Linked DNA regions of Oryzias latipes. The protein of the gene in region 1 interacts with the protein of each later gene in a pairwise test. Links are inferred from orthologs where the notes say so. Each region holds a gene or a part of one and is shown in the gene's direction. Other genes may lie near its edges.

Evidence for each region. The genes of interacting proteins can lie anywhere in the genome.
Region 2: the proteins of ankyrin repeat and SOCS box protein 13 (region 1) and nudt3 interact in a two-hybrid assay, tested with the Homo sapiens proteins (2 studies listed by BioGRID and IntAct). The link is inferred for Oryzias latipes from reciprocal best matches to the Homo sapiens genes ASB13 and NUDT3.

The regions. Positions count from the first base shown.
Region 1 is NC_019881.2:9,233,872-9,237,626, reverse strand, and holds the start of ankyrin repeat and SOCS box protein 13, read left to right. Parts: upstream 1-1,126; coding exon 1,127-1,169; intron 1,170-2,537; coding exon 2,538-2,725; intron 2,726-3,755. UniProt on the Homo sapiens protein: May be a substrate-recognition component of a SCF-like ECS (Elongin-Cullin-SOCS-box protein) E3 ubiquitin-protein ligase complex which mediates the ubiquitination and subsequent proteasomal degradation of target proteins.
Region 2 is NC_019863.2:14,581,087-14,584,741, forward strand, and holds part of nudt3 (diphosphoinositol polyphosphate phosphohydrolase 1), read left to right. Parts: intron 1-2,554; coding exon 2,555-2,599; intron 2,600-2,685; coding exon 2,686-2,770; intron 2,771-3,632; coding exon 3,633-3,655. UniProt on the Homo sapiens protein: Cleaves a beta-phosphate from the diphosphate groups in PP-InsP5 (diphosphoinositol pentakisphosphate) and [PP]2-InsP4 (bisdiphosphoinositol tetrakisphosphate), suggesting that it may play a role in signal transduction.

The DNA.
Region 1 (3,755 bases):
GTTCATTACAGAGGCTCTCATTGGCAAACGTCACAACGCATCACTCATCATTTATTACTGATTATAATTATGTTACAACTGAGAGCAAACAATATGTTTGTTCTGACGTTGTCATATTTCTATACAAACTTAACTATAGTTACATCTTCTCTCAACTTATCATACATGAGTATGAAAAGATGACTCCAAACATAAACTTCAAAAACTTATGCAACTTAAGTTTTGTTACAGGCTTTGTCCTTACATCTGCCACCATCTGGTCAGTTGGACAATATTCCAAAAAGATTTTCCCATCATTTACAGTTAACGTTACAAAATGGTAATTGATGTCAACATGTTTACATCTTTGTATGCTTATAGGATTCTTTGCTAACTTTATAGCCCCTTGGTTGTGTTTATAGACTTTGGGTAGGGTGGTACCCATCCATGCCCTGTAGCAGTTGTACCAGGTACATACATTCCTGAACAGTGGCAGCTAATGCCATATTCTCAGCTTCACAAGTGGATACAGCGAATGTAGGTCGGACCATTCTCGTTTAGACTGACTCAGTAACAAGTTGCGCTGCGTCTGTCACTTGTGTCTGTTGCCCAGTCTGCATCACTATATGCATGTAATCCCTGTCCCAATCCCATCTCCTGTAACGAAGTTCCATTTTGATTTCAGTACATGTCTTACAGCAGTCCAGTGTTCTTCTGTTGGTTCATTAAAATAGTGAGACAATTTACTTACTACAAAACTCAAGTCAGGCCGTGGACATGTTGCAAGATAAATAAGGCTCCTAATGTCTCTGTATTTTCTGGCATCAGTCATCTTTTCTGCAACATTTGTATAAATCAGCTTCTGTTCACTTAGGGGTTGATCTAGGTTTTACAATCCTGCATGTCAGACCTTCTCAGTATCTTTTTCACATCCTCTTGTTGTGTCATTTTTACAATGCCATCAGTCTGGTCAAAGTCAATGGCAAGAAAATGCTATAGTCTTCCTAAATCTTTCTTGATAAGCCCGTTTACTTAACTACATTACCCAGCATGCCCATTATGATTGCAGGACTGTCACGTGATACAGCAGCACGTGTGCGCAGCGGACACTGTTTACAAACATCTGTTGCTGGGGTCGTGTTGGAGGATGGAGGTGGCAAGCCGTCAGCCGTATTACTTTGGAGATATCGGTGGGTGACGCGCTCCAAACAGCTCTTACTGTGTCGCTGTATGATCATGAGAGCGGTTGACGTCAGCATGCTCGGCACGCGGCGAGCTAATGTGCTAAAAACAAGCAGGCTAATGCTGTGTAAGAAACAAGTTTGCAGAAATCAAATTGAGGAGATGAATGCGACATTTCCTATCAAACTAGTATCATATCCGTGATCTGATCAGTAGCTGTAATGAAGCTGGAGTTCCGCTGTGATCTAAGACCAGGATCTGGTTTGGCTCTCTGGAGGTTTAGCTGTTTGCAGTGAGATTCTGTCACGCGTCTGTTAGAGGCTGAAAGGCCGCTTTATGAACCGCGGTCAAGTGAGCCGACATCTGTGGAAGTGCGGTATCGCTAGCCGTCACTGACTTTTTGCATGCGCGTTTACATCATAGTTTACGGCACACACGCCCAGCGAGCTGGAAAGACGGTATAAAGCGCTAATATCACCCACACTGTTACCCATTGTCAAATAACATGTACTGTACTCTGAAATAAATTAGTTATTGCAAGCCCCATATTGTTATTTAATGTACAAATGTATTCATTGAGATTGCATGTCTGTTCATTCCATAATAAACTACCAGAAATAACATGTTTTGTCTGAAATATAATCAATCAGACATGAACAGACATACAATCTAAATGAATACATTTGTACATCAAATAACAATATGGGGCTTGCAATAACTAATTTATTTCAGAGTACAGTACATGTTATTTGATAATGGGTAACAGTGACATGGGTGATATTAGCGCTTTATGCCGTCTTTCCAGCTCGCTGGGCGTGTGTACCGTAAACTATGATGTAAACGCGCATATGCATGAAGATAAACTTTTTTACATTTATCTATCTTAATTATTTTCTTCAGTTAAGATAAATAATTTTTTTTAGTTCAGTCAACTTAAAAATAACACAGTTATCAGAAATTTATTTTCCTTTCATTCAAATTAATTCAATTGAGTAGGTGTAACTTTGGTGCTGCTAGATCGGCAGCGCAAGGAATTGTGGGATATCATTGCCTTTGCCTGTCTGGACGGATTTGGGTACAAGTGTAGATTTTTGTCTAAATATATTTAGTTGTAATTGTTTTACTGTGTTTTGCCGAGTTATTTTACCCTGTTATGTTTAATTCTTTCTGCACAATGAGCGAGAGGGAGGGAGGGAGAGGATGAGGAGGATATTTAGCACCTCTAATGCATCAGTATGGTATAAGAACTGAAGTTACAGTCAAAGTCATGATAAATAAAGGCTGCGTAGCTGTTGTAAATCCACACTGTCATGTATTATAATTTTATAAAAATGAGAAAATCTGCAGCCTCTAACTTAGAGCCTCTAACTTTTCAGGTTGTTGGGCCGAGAGAACAGAGTTACACAAGGCGGCGGCGCTCGGCCAGACCTCTCAGCTACGGCACCTCATCCAGGGGGGAGCCTCGGTCAATGTGGTGGCTGTGGACTCCATCACACCGCTGCATGAGGCCTGCCTGCGGGGGGAAGCTCAGTGTGTGAAGCTGCTGCTGGATGCTGGAGCTCAGGTGACTGCTGTTTCTGATTTCCCTTTGGGGATTAAGAAAGTATTTCTGAATTTATGCTGCGAATGACATCTGATGGAGTCAAGTTTCCTTCATCGAATGAATGAGTAATTTATCACAGACTCAAGGTCAAAATGACAAGACCATAAAAAAAAGCAACAACATTCATAAAACAACATTCACTGAAATAGAGAGCAGATAAAAATGCGGAGAACAATAGACAGTAAAACCAAGTGAAACACAGATTACAGACTTAAACTAAGTGCACCCACACCAGAACCTCCAGACTGGGGACTGATATTTAAGAATGCTGTACTTTACATTGGTGAGGGGTAAAATCATTTAATTCTCTGAGGCATTAAGATGTATAAAACCATAGATCAAATGTCTTAATAGAGCCTGGAGAATGTAAACAACTCACTATCACTATCACTATCACCGTGGTCTATTAAATAAATTCCGAAGGGCATCATTATGAGCAACTTTAAAACCTCTGCACACTATACCCCCTGTAGTCAATCCACAGGTGTGGCATGTTCAAAGCAGCGCAGTAAGATTTGAATCAAAGAATTTTAATATGATCATGAATAAAACCTGCGTGCCTTAGTGTTTATCTGAGCATTTAGCATATAGTCTACAGATGTCAGTAATGTCATCAGTAATATTGTCATTAATAACATGACTAAGATATTTAACTTTATGACTGACATCAAGCTCATTATTGCACAATTTAAAAGCAGAGAATTCAATGTCACATCAACCTTAGTGCAAACAATAAGCAGACCACTCGTATTAGCATTTAAATATCCTTTTTAAAACCATAAAAGGGAACAGACATTTAAAAGGTGTTGCAAACCAAAGCTCCAGGGACTGAAAACCACTAAATCATCTGCATAAATGATTTACTTTAAAACTTCCAATCAAACATCCGATATTGCATGCAGTCAGTTCATTTGTCAATTTATCAACATGGAGATGGAAGGGGACCAGAGACATTATGCCCCCCTGCCTCACCCCATTGCTCACATCAAAG
Region 2 (3,655 bases), on another chromosome or scaffold:
GTCTTTTTATGGTTAGTAACCATGGCGCTGGATTCATTTGGGGGTAGAAGAAAAATGTGCAGAGTTTGAGCTGTGAGTTATGCCAGTATAGGAGCCGAGTACTAAAACCACATCGGACTTTATTGTTCAGAGAAGTCATGCAGATTGAACATTGGCCGTCCATCAGCTGGATAACGCTGCTCAAACACACAAGAATGTAAAAGAACTATGGACTTCCATATCTGATTCTAGTTATTGTCGCATCAGATAAATTCTTGTTGCAGGATTATCTGTGGTAAAAGTCCCTTTGCAGCTGTGTCTTCTTGATCACAACCCAGGTTTTTTGCTGTTGTGTAATTGCAGCAATTTGTATAAAACTACGGGTACTTGGACAGTTCTGAAATCCTATGAAAATCAAAGTAAACTGAATACTATCTAGATCCCTTCTGGAATCAGGTGGTTCTCCAGTGTATACTATAACATCCCTTGTTACTTGGAGCGAGTAGATGGAAATATACTAAATAAACTGAATCCTACCCTGAATGTCAATATGAAAACTCCTTGTTGTATAACATCTTTTGAGCATGTGATTGCTCAACTTGACTTCTGCTATATATTACTTTTTTGGTTTTTGATGACCAATGTCTGTGTTTTGTTGCTATCTCAATGTTGCGTCACAATATTGGGTCGTAGTACAAAAAATAGATGCATGCATCTACTTTAACCAATGCTCTATACATCATAGACTCTGGCCTTCTAAGCCTCCTGATGGTAGCACACCAGCATGTATTCTAATCCTGGTGAGCCTGGTCAGATTACCATATGAGCAGTGAGCGATTTCTGGTTCTTATTGGATTGGGGTCTTGCCAGGGAGGGGGGGACAGCACTCAGGAGGAGGCCAGAGATTGCACAAGATTCTTTTGTCAGTTTATCGGATCCTTGCATGAGCTTATCCTAGTGTTAGTGATACACCCTAACCCTGATGTGTGAAGGCACGACACAGCGTTGCATAACATTTCATGTTACTTTAGCTCTGTCGTCATCCTCTTGGATTATTTTTACTAGTCTACAGTTGCACAATTTGAGTGAGCTGGTGGAAAAACAAACACTCAATAAAAACACAAGTTGATTTGTGATTCAAGTCTATTGGATTTTTAGTTTTTATTTATTATTCAGTTTGCCGCCTAAAGAGTGCAACACTGAGTCCAAGGCGTAGTAGAGGGAGTCAACATTTATTTATAGAGTGAAATTGAAGCCTGGAGGAGCAGCTTCAAAGATGCCAGCAAGTGGCTTTGCTCTTTTTTTAAAAACATGTGAACTATTCATCTGGGAGCTGACATCTGGGATACTTTTTGGTATCAGAATTTTTTTTAAAGGCACTTAATAATAAGAAGCTTTGTTATTTATTGTTGGTAACCTTGTGGCATTTGCATAGCCCTGAAGAGTAATTATAACTGACAGTGAAGGGGCAATTCTGTTTCTTTTCCTGACCTTTCAACATGAGCCTGTGTGGCACTTATGGGAGTCTGTTACCTGTTGTCTGTGTGACAGCAACAGCTGGACTTTACCTAATTAAGTAGTTATTATTTTTTAAAACAACCACAAAATTTGTCTAAAACTAATTGAAATGCGGTCAATTTTTAGTTTTCTGGATATATTTGTATTCATGTGAAGTTTTGTCTGAAGGGCACATTGCAGCCTTGAATCCAGGTGCAGATTTTATTTTATTTTTTTAAAACAATCTTTATTCATTATTGGGTGTTAATTCACAACACTCTAAAATATATTTAAAGTTACTGAGCATACATGTTTTTAACTTTGATAGTTGGTTTTAGTTATGACAGTATCTTTTGACTTTTCTTTTATGTTACCCAGGGGTTGTTAGATTATTGTTTATGTTTCAAAAAGTGTCCTAACTGATTTGTACTGACCTTATTTTGCGGTCTTATGGTGTGCACAGCTGTGACACAAAAATTAAAGCATTTTTAAACAATTTTTTTCTATGTGGAAAAAAAACGTCCTCCTTTCCACTCTAACCTTACTGTCTCTAACCTATGTTTATCTTTTCTGAAGTTTTTTTTTTTGTTGACCTTCTTGAATGATTTCTGAGTTCAGCATCTGACTCTAAGCCATCGGAAAATCAAATTACAACTCGGTCTTGAAGTTAAGCCGATCTTCTGTCCTTAAACCAACCCTTAGTCTTTTTTTTTTCTACTCATTAGGTTTGGCAAATTAAAATCAACCTAGAATTCAAAGAACACAATGACTTTTCAATAAATGAAATGCACTGCAACAGATGACATGGATGGCATTCAATGCCTATAGTTAGACTTTTATATTTATTAATATTTTTGTAGATTTTGCACGTCCCTCCATCCATTTTCCGAATCCCTTTTGGGGTCACGGGGATACTGGAGCCTATCCTAGCTGCAGTTGGGCGAAAGTGGGATACACCCTGGTTAAGGTCACATGTGGCAGGGCCACAATTTGCACAGCTGAGAGAAAATCATAAAAGTTGTTAAAAAAATTGTCTGTTGTGACTATGGCTTTCTTTGTTCTTGTTTTTGTTTTACAGGCCGGTGTGAAGGGGACTTTAGGTCGCTTAGTTGGAATATTTGAAGTAAGCCGCTGTCTGCTTATTGCGTTGTTTTTGTAGAGGTCTTCAAAATTTTAACTCACTCTCTGGTCATTTCTTCCTTTTAACAGAACCGGGAAAGAAAGCACAGAACCTACGTTTATGTTCTTATTGTAACGGAAGTGCTGGAAGACTGGGAGGACTCGGTTAACATCGGTAAGAACTTTAGTTATTTTCTGCCAAAATTTCAGTTATGCAAACATAGTTTCTTTCAGTCACATGCTAAATTTCATTATTTTAGTTTCTCCCATATCTAGGTGAAAGTGTTGTGAAGAGATTTTAATTTTTGGGGGGGGGGTGCAACGATTCCTTTTAACAATTTATTCATTTCATAATTTGTGGTTCACGATACGATTCATAGTGGATATGGGTTCATTTTGAACGATTCGATTTACTGACTTAAGATCGATCCAGGACATCTTTAGCCAAAAATTCAACCACTGTGTCTTAGAGATAAATACTTAACAGTGCAGCTGAAGTTTTCTAGAGCCCTTGAATGTCTCGCAAGATAATCAAGTGTAAATTAAATATGTGTACAAAACAAAAAAGTAAACAGGAATTAATGAAAAATCTGTTCACATTTTAGTTTCCTAAAGTTCAGCCCATTGTTGTTTTTCCACATCAAAATAAAACAGATGGAACAGTATTGGAACATTCTACCACTGTGTGTCACAGGTCAAAGTGGAGTGTGTGTTCTCTGCTGTGATGCGCTTGGTTTTTTTACGTCATAGTATAATAAACCTACCAGGCTTAAACCCAGATGGTATTTTTCAATATTAATTATAATACATTACATTTGGAAACAATGTTATAATAGTATAGGTTAATTTGATTAAGTCAATTGTTGCACCCCTAGTTTTTTCTCCTCCACATCTGCTTAGTATTAATCATAGTTGGCCCCACTTCCACTGAACACAGGGCTTTCTTGTTGTAGTCCCCCCCCACCCCCACCCCCACCCCCCCCTCCTCCTCTTGGTTGTGTTGACCTAACTCCTCAATGTCTCTCTTCTGTCAACAGGCAGAAAAAGGGAATGGTTTAAA